3 linked regions of the Caenorhabditis elegans genome follow. The protein of the gene in region 1 interacts with the protein of each later gene in a pairwise test. Each region holds a gene or a part of one and is shown in the gene's direction. Other genes may lie near its edges. The genes, in order: K04G2.10, eif-3.D and arrd-24.

Region 1 (2,924 bases):
TTGCTTTAGTAAATAGAAAGTGGTATTAATATTTTCCAGTACATTTATATCCACTTAAACTTTCAGTTGTGAAAATTCAGATACCAGCTTTTCCAACCGGTCACACCTTCTTCTTACATTTGCTTTTCCTCTGGACACATTCAAAACTCCAGAATTATTATATTTGTTCGGCAAACTGCAAACATTCGTCTCCCAGACTACCCATAAAAATCATAAAAATCGTACAACAACTGGACAAAAAAAAACAACAATATACATATATGAGTGGAGGATATCAGCATATTACCCTGTCAAGGTCGGGCATGTGTTAGAGGTTTTAGAGATACAAAGAAATGAAGAAAAATGAATGAGAAGGAGACTTATTGATGAGAAAATGGCAAATTCATGATAACACATGAACAAAGAAGTTATGCGATTGTAGTGAAAAGGCATGCTTAGTGAGAAATTTTGATATTCTGCACGGGCGGTTCACTGAGACATTTATAATTAAAGATCAGGATTAAAACAAAACACAATTCCTGAAAAGTATTTTCTGAAAAAAAAACATTTATACTTGAGTGTGAATTTTTATTTTTGCAGGAACCACACAAGCTGAATCTCTACTAACCCGACAGGTGAAGATTTTTTCGAGTTGGAATATAACGTTTTTAAGAATGAGTTCATAATCTTTGTACTGTTTGAACAACTGATTTTCCCAAATTTTTTAGAACGAAACTGAAATTATGTTGAGGCCACTGATCTTTGCGAATCGGCGAGGTTCCGAATCAAGTCGACGCCGGAAATCTTTTCTACTATGATCTTCTCACGTCCTACTTCAGTCGTCTTCGTCCCATTGATCTTGACCTGAAACATTTTGAAAACTAAAGCGAGTAGAAACGAAGTAAAAATAAAGACGGCTCTATCTGATTCCATATCAATTCAGCATCCCGGAAAACTGTTGTAATCTGGACATGACCGGGAGACGCGAAAATTCCCTCACATTTTCTTGTCTCAAAGATCTGTCAACTCCTGATTCCAACCAGTTTTCCGCAATACTGAATTGAGAGTTAATATTTCATGCATTTCGCCGGAGTTCAATTTGATTCTGCAGTTTTCACTTTGAGCTAATCTCCAACTTTTGCTTTCAATCCAATAAATCATAGACAACTTTGATAAATGAAGCATATAATCTGTACTACCACGAATTCGCCCGTCGATTGCTCCAACATAAATCGAATAGCACGTTGGAATGGGCAACCATTGTCGGCGACTAAAAATCTTAATATTATAAAAAATTTTGTTCCAGTCCCAACATTCTCGAAATCTTTTTTGATCTACCAAATTGGTACTTCTTTGTAAATGTCATAAACAGGTGCGAGAGGAACCAGATAATATCGATCTCATAGCAAGAGAGAAATGATGTCATCGGAGCAGATGTTCTCCTTTCCTATGCCATTCTTTTTGCTAGTTACAGCACTACATTATCGATTGCAGCTTTGGGTCTCGACACGAAAACGCTCGTCTCCGATATATCGACTGCTACTGTGCTCAATCAAACATTACCCATCTTTGTTCTTGTTTTCCTTATTTTTTATTTTTTTTGGAACACATTAATTTTTATATTTTTTATTTATTTCAGAAACTCAACACTAAAAAGAAGTATGCAACGCTATAATCCACCACAAAGCTCGAATCAAATGTACTGCCCAGGATGTAATCGTCAAATTCGAAAAGTTCAAGAGTTGATGGACGAGAGGTACCTGACAAACATTTGTAATGAAGTGGAGAAGAACACCATGAGACTTCAAATTCAAGATTTGGAGAGACAAGTTCAAATGCGTCGATGTGAGAATCGGAAGATGAAGACTATTCAGGAAGTCGAAAAGGAAGGATCAACAGAATCTCAAGATTCAATTCATGACCATCCAATGGTAAAAGTGTTGATGGAGATCAACGATCAATTGATGATTGAAATGAGAAAAAAGGTTGAAGCTCCAGAAGAATATCCATTAGAAGAATGGAAAGATGCTATTGAACAAAAATGGAGTGAAAAGTATGAAAAGCTTCGTGATTATGCATTGGATCAACAAGACATGGTCAAATATATGGAAGAGAATGATGATCGACAAAAAGAAAGTATTGAGAAGTATAAACGGAAAATTGGTTCGATGAAAAAAGTAATTGAAAAGATGGAATTCGAAATGGCACTTCTTCAATCGGAATTGGAAATGAAAGACTCCTCATGTGTCGAGAAGTCTGTAAATAGTGAGGAAAAGCAGGAAAACAAGGAAAATCTTTCTGGTGTTCTCGATAATAAATTCATTTTCCAGAACTAATAATCTAACTTCAAAATCTCTTTTTTTTTCAATGCTTTATGTTATTTTCTTGCTTTTTACGAATAAAGTCTGTAATGACTATTTTTCGTTATATTGAAAAACCTTGGAGTCAGGAGTCTTCATAAAAGCAACAAACTTGCCCATTTCGGTAAAATAATTTAACTTTTAAAATAATCTAAAAAACAATTAAATGTTTTCTTGGAAAATTGTTTTGCTAAATCTTTTCATTCACCCAAAAAAATCAATGGCTATGGAAGCCCCTCAGTATTGAAAAATAAATGTTCTCAGGTTTCATATTTAGGTAAATTCATTAAATGTTACGAAAACTTTATTTATTCCAATAAGTAATTTCTAACAAGTTCTATCAATTGTCATCATCTACGAGTTCATTTCTTCTGACTAATCGCATTATGTCCAAAATCAATTTCTTTTTCTGAAAAATGAAATAAAATTGAAAATTTAATTTAATTTATGTTCTTACCTTTGCATAGTCATTATCGCTCATTCCCTCAAGAACTGGATCGAAATCTCTTTCGAATGTTTCACTAAGCTTCTGAGATGTTGACACGTGATTTGTCCAATGCTTGTAAAAGAAATGTCTTGAGGAAT
Region 2 (4,539 bases), on another chromosome or scaffold:
GGAAAATAGATGCATAATGATACGAATTTTCTCCAATTGTGTAGGCACCGTTTTCGTATTCGAATTTTTCCACAATTTCTAGTTTTGCCATTTCTGTAAAAAATATAGTGAATAGAAAAATATTGTGTACGAAAGAAAAATAACTAACTCAAATGATGCTCGAAACACTCAATACTCGACTCGTTACGACGAGTGCACGCAACGATAGCAGCTTTTGAGTGGCGGAGCAGAAGATTGAGCACATTGCAGAGAGAGGCGAGCAATGCAGTGTCGTAGACAACATCTGAAAAAGGAGACGTGAAAGAGAAGAGAGACACAGAGAAATGAGAAGACTTGGATAATGAGTGCCTGAAGCTGTTATTTGAAGGGTTTCGTTTCACACGAATATCATATAGAAAAACAAAGAATTTAACAAATAAAAGTATTAGCAAAACCTACCGGCCGCGATAATCAAATCCGTGGGTTCCTTCCATTCAGAGAAATCAAAATCACACCAATTGAGTGAGCGAACTGTTGCTTGATTGTTGTTGGCTGACGAATCTACAATTTAGATTCTAAATATTTTTAAATTTGAAATACGGAAGGAGTCGATTTTATTTCTCAAAAAATACCTTCAGTATCACTCTTCAGATCGTTTTTCGCAATATTCTCTTCTAAAAGATTCAGCACATTATCATCATAATCAGTGAGCGTCACACAACAATCATTCATTTTTGCAATTGCAATTCCACTAACACCACATCCTGACCCGAGTTCTAATATTCGATTGTACTCGGAGGGAATCAAGCGAAAAAGATTGGCGAGATCACAAGAAGCTTGCCAAACTGATAAGCCAGTTGTACCCATTGATAGTTGATTTACAGCTTCCGAGAATTTCGCTAGAACTTTGTCGCCTCCATCGGTTAGGTAAACCTGAAAATATGAAATTATTTCCATTTGAGCTGACGAATTGTTTAAAAACTTACTCTTTCCACATATTCTCCTTCTTTCATTCCCATTAGAGAACCAAGCCTGTCGAACATTGAATCAGGAACAACAACATTATTGGCTTGAAGTTCAGAAATCAAGTTTTTAAGAACATTTATTTGAAATTTGTAACGAATTTCATGCGATGTGACAATTTCATTATTGAAGACATTGTTGCAAAGATTCTCAGCATATTCCGAATCTTTTATGCATTGTTCTACAATATCCTTCATTAGCTGATCCGGAATTTTTGAAGCGCTACAATAAAATCTTTTGAACTGGAGTTCAGTTGTCTCCTTTTCTGAGTGGACCATCCCGCTCAGTTCTCCGTTTTCTTGACATTTTGTGAAAATTTTGCGTTTTCGTTCTGACTGAATAAGCGGTATCAGGAGGAAGGTATTCGGGTCTTGCATGTGGAATTCCGTAGTGTTCTGCTTGAACGATTCGCTGCTCCGCTTGATAGATTAGTTTGCCAATCACTATTGGGTCTTTTTCCTGAAAAATCCCATATAATTAGTTTCCACATCAATATTGAGAACGAGAATACCTGCTGGTGCTCTCGGAAAGCCTGACGAGCTTCAGTGATAATTTGTTGTCTCTCAACTACAGTATTTGTTTCTTCTTTTGCTTTCCAATTCTTGCCCAATTTTAAAATCTGTCGATAGAGCTGAATGACTCGAATACTTTGTGGCACTGTATTCATCAAGGTGGACCCGTTTCTGGAATTATATTCTGATTATGCGAGGAAATTTGGAGAAAACAAATAAAAACCAAAAATTGAGGTGGCGTCAAGTGGCGAATGTTGGCGCGTTTCGTGTACCTTGCGCATTTCTCGATTAAACATTTTTATTTTTACACGCGTTCTTGTCGGATTTTTCACATTTTTATACGATTTTCTGATTAATTTTTCTGTTTTGTGAATTATATAAATTCATGAAAGTCTTGTAACTATATTTTAAATGCTCTCGAATGTTATTGTTCCATTTCCATTTCTTTTGTCGTTGCTATCGTTTGGCCTAAAATTGCATTTCAACACTATTTTATATTTATTTCAGGTATGGCTCTACCAAAGTTTGAACTGTTGTCATTGGCTGATAATACAGTCGGATGGGGTCCATTGGCGTCGAGTTCCTCTGCTGATGAGCCTGTTCCATTCCAACAATTCAACAAGGCTGATCGCATCGGACGTGTTGCCGACTGGATTGGTGTTGATAGATTCTATAGAAGAGGAAATGAGAGGTTTTTATACAACAAATGAGTGGTATCGTTAAAACTTGAAATTTAGATACAATGAGCGTGTCTATGGATCCGCCGCCAACGCTGGAAGTCAGTTCGATTACATTCATGGAATGGATGAGCATAACTTCCAACTTGTTGACACTTCTAAACCAATGGCTCGCAATCCACAGCGCAACTTCCGTGTCCGCCAAATGCATCTTCGTAAGATGATGCAGAAAGAAAATGAGAAGCGTGAGATGGTGAACCAGTCAACGAATTTGAGAATGAAGAGAAGTATCGCCAAGGAGCAACAACGTGCCTTCAAGATGTGGCAACGTCGTGGAGGAAATGCTCGTCAAGGACAACGCGGACAAGGTGGTCGATTCGGAGGTGATCGGCCGAAGGAACGTCTTCCATCTGTTCAAGTTAGACCGGAATGGGTTGTTCTTGAAGAAATGAATCTTAGTGCGTTTTCCAAACTTGCTCTTCCTAACATCCCAGGAGGAGACGACATTGGGGATCACCAGTATGGAAGTCTTCAATACTATGACAAGACTATTGATCGCGTTTCTGTGAAAAATTCTATTCCGCTTCAAAGATGCGCTGGCGTGTTCTACAATGTCACCACAACGGAAGATCCTGTAATTCAAGAACTTGCTCAAGGTGGTGCTGGAAATGTTTTCGGAACAGACATAATTCTTGCTACTTTGATGACTGCTCCTCGTTCGGTCTACTCGTGGGACATTGTTGCCTACAGAGTCGGAGACAAACTTTTCTTCGATAAGAGAAACACTAGAGATATTTTGAATCCAGTTGAGACCCTTACTGTTTCCGAGACTAGTGCCGAACCACCATCATTCGACGGAAATGGTATCAACAATGCCAAGGATCTTGCGACCGAGGCATTCTACATTAACCAAAACTTCCGTCGTCAAGTCGTCAAGAGAAACGACGCAGGATTCACCTTCAAGAATGCTCGTGCTCCATTCGAAGACGAGGAGACTGGAGAGTCAGGAACTGCTTACAAGTAGGATTTTCGTTTAAAATTTTGATCTTTAATTAAACAATTTTTAGATACCGTAAGTGGAATCTTGGAAACGGAGTTGATGGAAAACCAGTTGAGTTGGTTTGCCGTACAGAATTGGATGGAGTTATTCACGGACTCGGAAATGAGACTCAGACTCTTACAATCAAGGCATTCAACGAATGGGATAGCACACAATCTGGAGGTGTCGACTGGAGAACAAAGCTTGATGTTCAAAAGGGAGCCGTAATGGCCACCGAAATCAAGAACAACTCAGCTAAGGTTGCAAAGTGGACTCTGCAAGCACTTCTTGCCGGTTCCGACACAATGAAGCTCGGATATGTGTCTCGTAACAATGCACGCAGCACACAAAATCATTCTATTCTACTCACCCAATACGTAAAGCCAACGGAGTTTGCTAGCAACATCGCCTTGAACATGGATAACTGCTGGGGAATTCTTAGATGCGTCATTGACAGGTAAGAACGAGCACATCCAGACTGGTAATCAATTTTTTCCAGTTGTATGAAGCAAAAACCAGGAAAGTACTTGTTGATGAAGGATCCACAATCTCCGGTTATCCGCCTTTATTCGCTTCCAGAAGGAACTTTCGAAAGCGAGCGCGAGAGCTCCGACGAGGAGAACTCGGATGACGATCAATAAAGTCCCCGGTTTCTGACAATTTCTTGTATTCGCTTTTCTAATTATTGTCTCTTGTTAATTAAACTTGGTTCTGATAAGATAAACTTTATTCAAAATATCATTCAACATTGGGATTTAATCGCAGCGTGCAAACCGGTAATTTGGAAAGAATCAAGCCCGCATAGTTCATTGGAAATCGCAGTAAGTTCTGGAGAAGCGTTGTCCTTCTTGAAGTAGTCGTCTCCAAGCTCAACATCGACGAGGCAAATCCTAAATTTCAACATTTTGAAATTTTTTAATTATGCATTTTTTAGAACTTACACAATGAAAAGAGCAATAACGATAGAATTAATTTCTCTCTTTGTCCAGCCAGTGATATTTTCCGAATCGAGTTGGAATGTCGAAGCTACTCGACTGAGAATATCACGACGAGTTGGAGTTAAATGTAAACGTGCTTCCAAATCCATCCAGCTGTAATTTCAAAATTAATATTTAAAATTGCTAGATAAACTCACTGATTCCTAATAGAATGCAGGAAAATATTCAATCTCTTCTCTTTCACATTGTACTTATCAAGATTCGGCAAATTGACCAATTTCTCCGCGTCCACCTTTTTACCGGACAAAAAATCCATCAAAATTTGCTCAGCAGCTCCACCGGTTGGTCTGGCACCTTCTCGAACCAATTTA
Region 3 (3,736 bases), on another chromosome or scaffold:
TATTATTACAAAATATATAACATTTACTCTCTGGCTTCACCGTATTTTTTACTCTCGGGCTTCACCGTATATTTTACTCTCTGGCTTCACCGTATATTTCCCGAACTTTACCAATAATCTTAGAAAAAAATTGTCTATTCAGGGCCATATCAAGTCTCCCAAAATTCCAAAATTTTTTTTTTGTAATTTCGTCAAGGTATATGCCTGTAAAAAATAATTCGGATACAGAAACCCCTCTAGCGTGGCTTAAATTTAATTTCCAGGTCCCGAACTTTACCAATAATCTTAGAAAAAAATTTTCTATTCAGGGCCATATCAAGTCTCCCAAAATTCCAAAAATTTTTTTTTGTAATTTCGTCAAGGTATATGCCTGTAAAAAATAATTCGGATACAGAAATTCCTCTAGCGGAGTTCAAGCAGAAAAAGTGGATTTTCAGTCATACCTTTTAGTGCACAGTTTGAGAATGACTAAAAACGACCATGCAAAATTAGTAGATTTTCCAATTTTCAAAAATTAGAATCTGGCGTCAAACTAACTTTTTCAAAAATCCTGTAGCCATTTTGTTGCAAATTTTGTGTTCTTTCAGAATTTCGAAACCAAATTCAAAAAAGTGTGAAGCCAGGGAGTAAAATATTCTGTAAAGCCAGAGAGTAAAATATTCTGTGAAGCCAGAGAGTAAAATATACGGTGAAGCCAGAGAGTAAAATATTCTGCGAAGCCAGAGAGTAAAATATTCTGTGAAGCCAGAGAGTAAAATATACGGTGAAGCCAGAGAGTAAAATATACGGTGAAGCCAGAGAGTAAAATATTCTGCGAAGCCAGAGAGTAAAATATTCTGTGAAGCCAGAGAGTAAAATATACGGTGAAGCCAGAGATTAAAATATTCTGTGAAGCCAGAGAGTAAAATATTCTGTGAAGTTAAAGGCATGAAACTAAATACTCAAGATCGTCTTTTGTACATTACACTTCCAATTTAAGACTTACAGTTCCATTTCTTGCACTCCATGCAATCGTTTCTCCAGAGACGTAGTCAACTTCTGCAGAGTAGTGCACAATTTCAGTATAACTTTCCTCTTTTCCTTCACAATTACTAAACTCTTGTATGTCATTAGGTCTAGATGTCTTGGAGCTTACGTTCTGTATCGTCGTTCCCCTTCACTCCACTTCGTATGCGCAGCACCGTGAAAACAGATTTTCAAGAATCGGGCAGTGATTGGCTCGTTGGATCTCAAAACAACCTGCCCAGTAACAGTTTGACCTGGTGCATAACCTCTCGGGCTATCGAACACAATTCCAAAGTGATCCATATGTTCCATATCTAAACTAAAAAGATACAAGGAAATTTAGAATTTTAATTAAGGAAAATGTTGTATGATTATAAAATGAATGAAAACTGATAAAATGAAGTGGTTATCAAATAAATTGCCGTTTTATAATATAAATATGATTTCACAAAAATCAAATAACGCACGGTATAAGACTGATGACGACATTTTACCTCCTGATTACGCGTTTTGAGTCACAATATATTATAAAACGGCAATTTATTTGATAACCACTTCATTTTATCAGTTTTCATTCATTTTATAATCATACAACATTTTCCTTAATTAAAATTCTAAATTTCCTTGTATCTTTTTAGTTTAGATATGGAACATATGGATCACTTTGGAATTGTGTTCGATAGCCCGAGAGGTTATGCACCAGGTCAAACTGTTACTGGGCAGGTTGTTTTGAGATCCAACGAGCCAATCACTGCCCGATTCTTGAAAATCTGTATTCACGGTGCTGCGCATACGAAGTGGAGTGAAGGGGAACGACGATACAGAACGTAAGCTCCAAGACATCTAGACCTAATGACATACAAGAGTTTAGTAATTGTGAAGGAAAAGAGGAAAGTTATACTGAAATTGTGCACTACTCTGCAGAAGTTGACTACGTCTCTGGAGAAACGATTGCATGGAGTGCAAGAAATGGAACTGTAAGTCTTAAATTGGAAGTGTAATGTACAAAAGACGATCTTGAGTATTTAGTTTCATGCATTTAACTGATAACAAACTACAATATTGTTACAGGAAAAACTTCCATCTGGCCACCATGTCTTCCCGTTTGCATTTCCACTCCCGATAGAATGTCCACCTAGTTTTGAAGGTTTCCACGGCCACGTTCGTTATTCCGTGCGAGTTGAGCTTGACAGACCATGGAAGTTCAACAAAAACGAAAGGGAAGACTTCAAAGGTATTTCGAAAATTGTTAATGTGCGCAAAAAGTTATTTTTCAGTTATTCCCAACTTTGACTTGAATCATCTTCCGTTGGGAAATGTTCCTAGAATGATGAAGGATGTGAAGGACATTGGGCAAATATTTAAAAAAGGAATAGTAACAATAACTGTGAGTACAACGCTGCTACATTGATAGGTTATTTAATGCTTTCAGGTAACTATCCCCAAAGCAGGATATGCTCCTGGAGAATACCTGCCAATCACAATCGACATTGACAATGCTTCCAAACGTGCAGCAACGTTTGTGCGAGCTGAACTTCATCAGCACTCGCATTACAATGCTAGCAAAAACCATGGCCTCTTATGCACTCATTCGTCTTACCACGAACATCACAAGGATGAAAGCAAACGTATTGCAGAAGCTCGAAAAAGCATAAAAATTGCTCCAAAAACCGCTGGCCGTGAAATGCTGCGGATGAAAATCCCAAAGTCGCCACCAACATTTACAAGTCCCATTATCAGCATTGAGTATTGTCTTTCTGTGAGGTTGGACACTTTAACAACCCTTAATAATACATTGCACTGCGAGTTTGATATCATCATCGGCACAGTGCCAATAACTGAATCGATCGTGGAGCCAACGGTAACTACCTTTCCGTCTGATCCACCTGTCCTTGAGCGGCTGGATTCCTAACCTCCAGCCTATTCAACTGTGGTTCCAAGTGCTCCGACCGATGATACAGCGGGAACATCCGCTCTACCGCCGTCTTATGAGGAATCAATGTGTGTAACTAAAATTTAATTGGGTATTTTATTTTATTTTTTCTTGTATAATTGTGAATTAATAAAATTCTGGCCATTTACATTAGTCAATCAATTTTCTTTCTCTATTGCTAAACATTGAGTTTCAAAAATATTCATTTGGCAAAAAATAAGGTAGGGTAGATTCAAAAAACTATAAGGATGAATTGTAAATTACAAGTTTATTACAATCAACAGATAAGTTTAAAAAAAAACATTTCAGAAAATAATATGAGGAGTAGTGATATTCGAGATTGACGGTGAATTTTTATAGACAATTTTACAGGATTTTTTTGTGAGCCACTTTTTGTGCAGTAGTGAAACAAGATAACAGTGCAACGACGACAGCAACTTATTCTAAAAGATAGGAAATGTGAGTGGTTGTCCGGCCATAGACATTTGGACAATCTGCTTTAACAAAGACAGTACGTTGAGCAAGGCAGAAACGCTCAATAATTTCCGATTTCTTGGCCACAAGTTTGGCGGCAAGTCTTTGGCGAACACCTTTATTGTCTTCCTCTGCGTGTTTGTATTCAGATCTTTGCATTCGACGAGCTTTACGTCCTTGCTTTGCCAGAATGTGCTCAACCTCCTCTTCTGATTTTCCCTGAGCAATTGCTACAGCCTTCATCTCTCTTACAATTCTGGCTTGAACAATGTCCAATTGTTCCATGCGATTTCTGGTTTTAATCTCTAGATACTTCTCGAGATA

Evidence for each region.
Region 2: the proteins of K04G2.10 (region 1) and eif-3.D interact in a two-hybrid assay, tested with the Caenorhabditis elegans proteins (one large-scale study listed by BioGRID).
Region 3: the proteins of K04G2.10 (region 1) and arrd-24 interact in a two-hybrid assay, tested with the Caenorhabditis elegans proteins (one large-scale study listed by BioGRID).

The regions. Positions count from the first base shown.
Region 1 is NC_003279.8:8,058,164-8,061,087, forward strand, and holds K04G2.10 (uncharacterized protein), read left to right. Parts: upstream 1-1,640; coding exon 1,641-2,315; downstream 2,316-2,924. Other genes in the region: F18C12.4 (Small integral membrane protein 29), read right to left, coding at 2,680-2,748, 2,797-2,924.
Region 2 is NC_003281.10:8,969,061-8,973,599, reverse strand, and holds eif-3.D (Eukaryotic translation initiation factor 3 subunit D), read left to right. Parts: upstream 1-2,021; 5' UTR 2,022-2,023; coding exon 2,024-2,205; intron 2,206-2,251; coding exon 2,252-3,211; intron 3,212-3,258; coding exon 3,259-3,687; intron 3,688-3,729; coding exon 3,730-3,871; 3' UTR 3,872-3,965; downstream 3,966-4,539. Other genes in the region: R08D7.4 (Complex1_LYR_dom domain-containing protein), read right to left, coding at 1-93, 149-283, 439-540, 612-912, 966-1,379; Putative RNA polymerase II subunit B1 CTD phosphatase rpap-2, read right to left, coding at 3,973-4,120, 4,172-4,321, 4,366-4,539.
Region 3 is NC_003284.9:13,978,421-13,982,156, reverse strand, and holds arrd-24 (Arrestin C-terminal-like domain-containing protein), read left to right. Parts: upstream 1-1,639; 5' UTR 1,640-1,650; coding exon 1,651-1,832; intron 1,833-1,876; coding exon 1,877-1,982; intron 1,983-2,076; coding exon 2,077-2,239; intron 2,240-2,282; coding exon 2,283-2,392; intron 2,393-2,437; coding exon 2,438-2,917; 3' UTR 2,918-3,088; downstream 3,089-3,736. Other genes in the region: F48F7.6 (Zf-C4pol domain-containing protein), read right to left, coding at 3,377-3,736.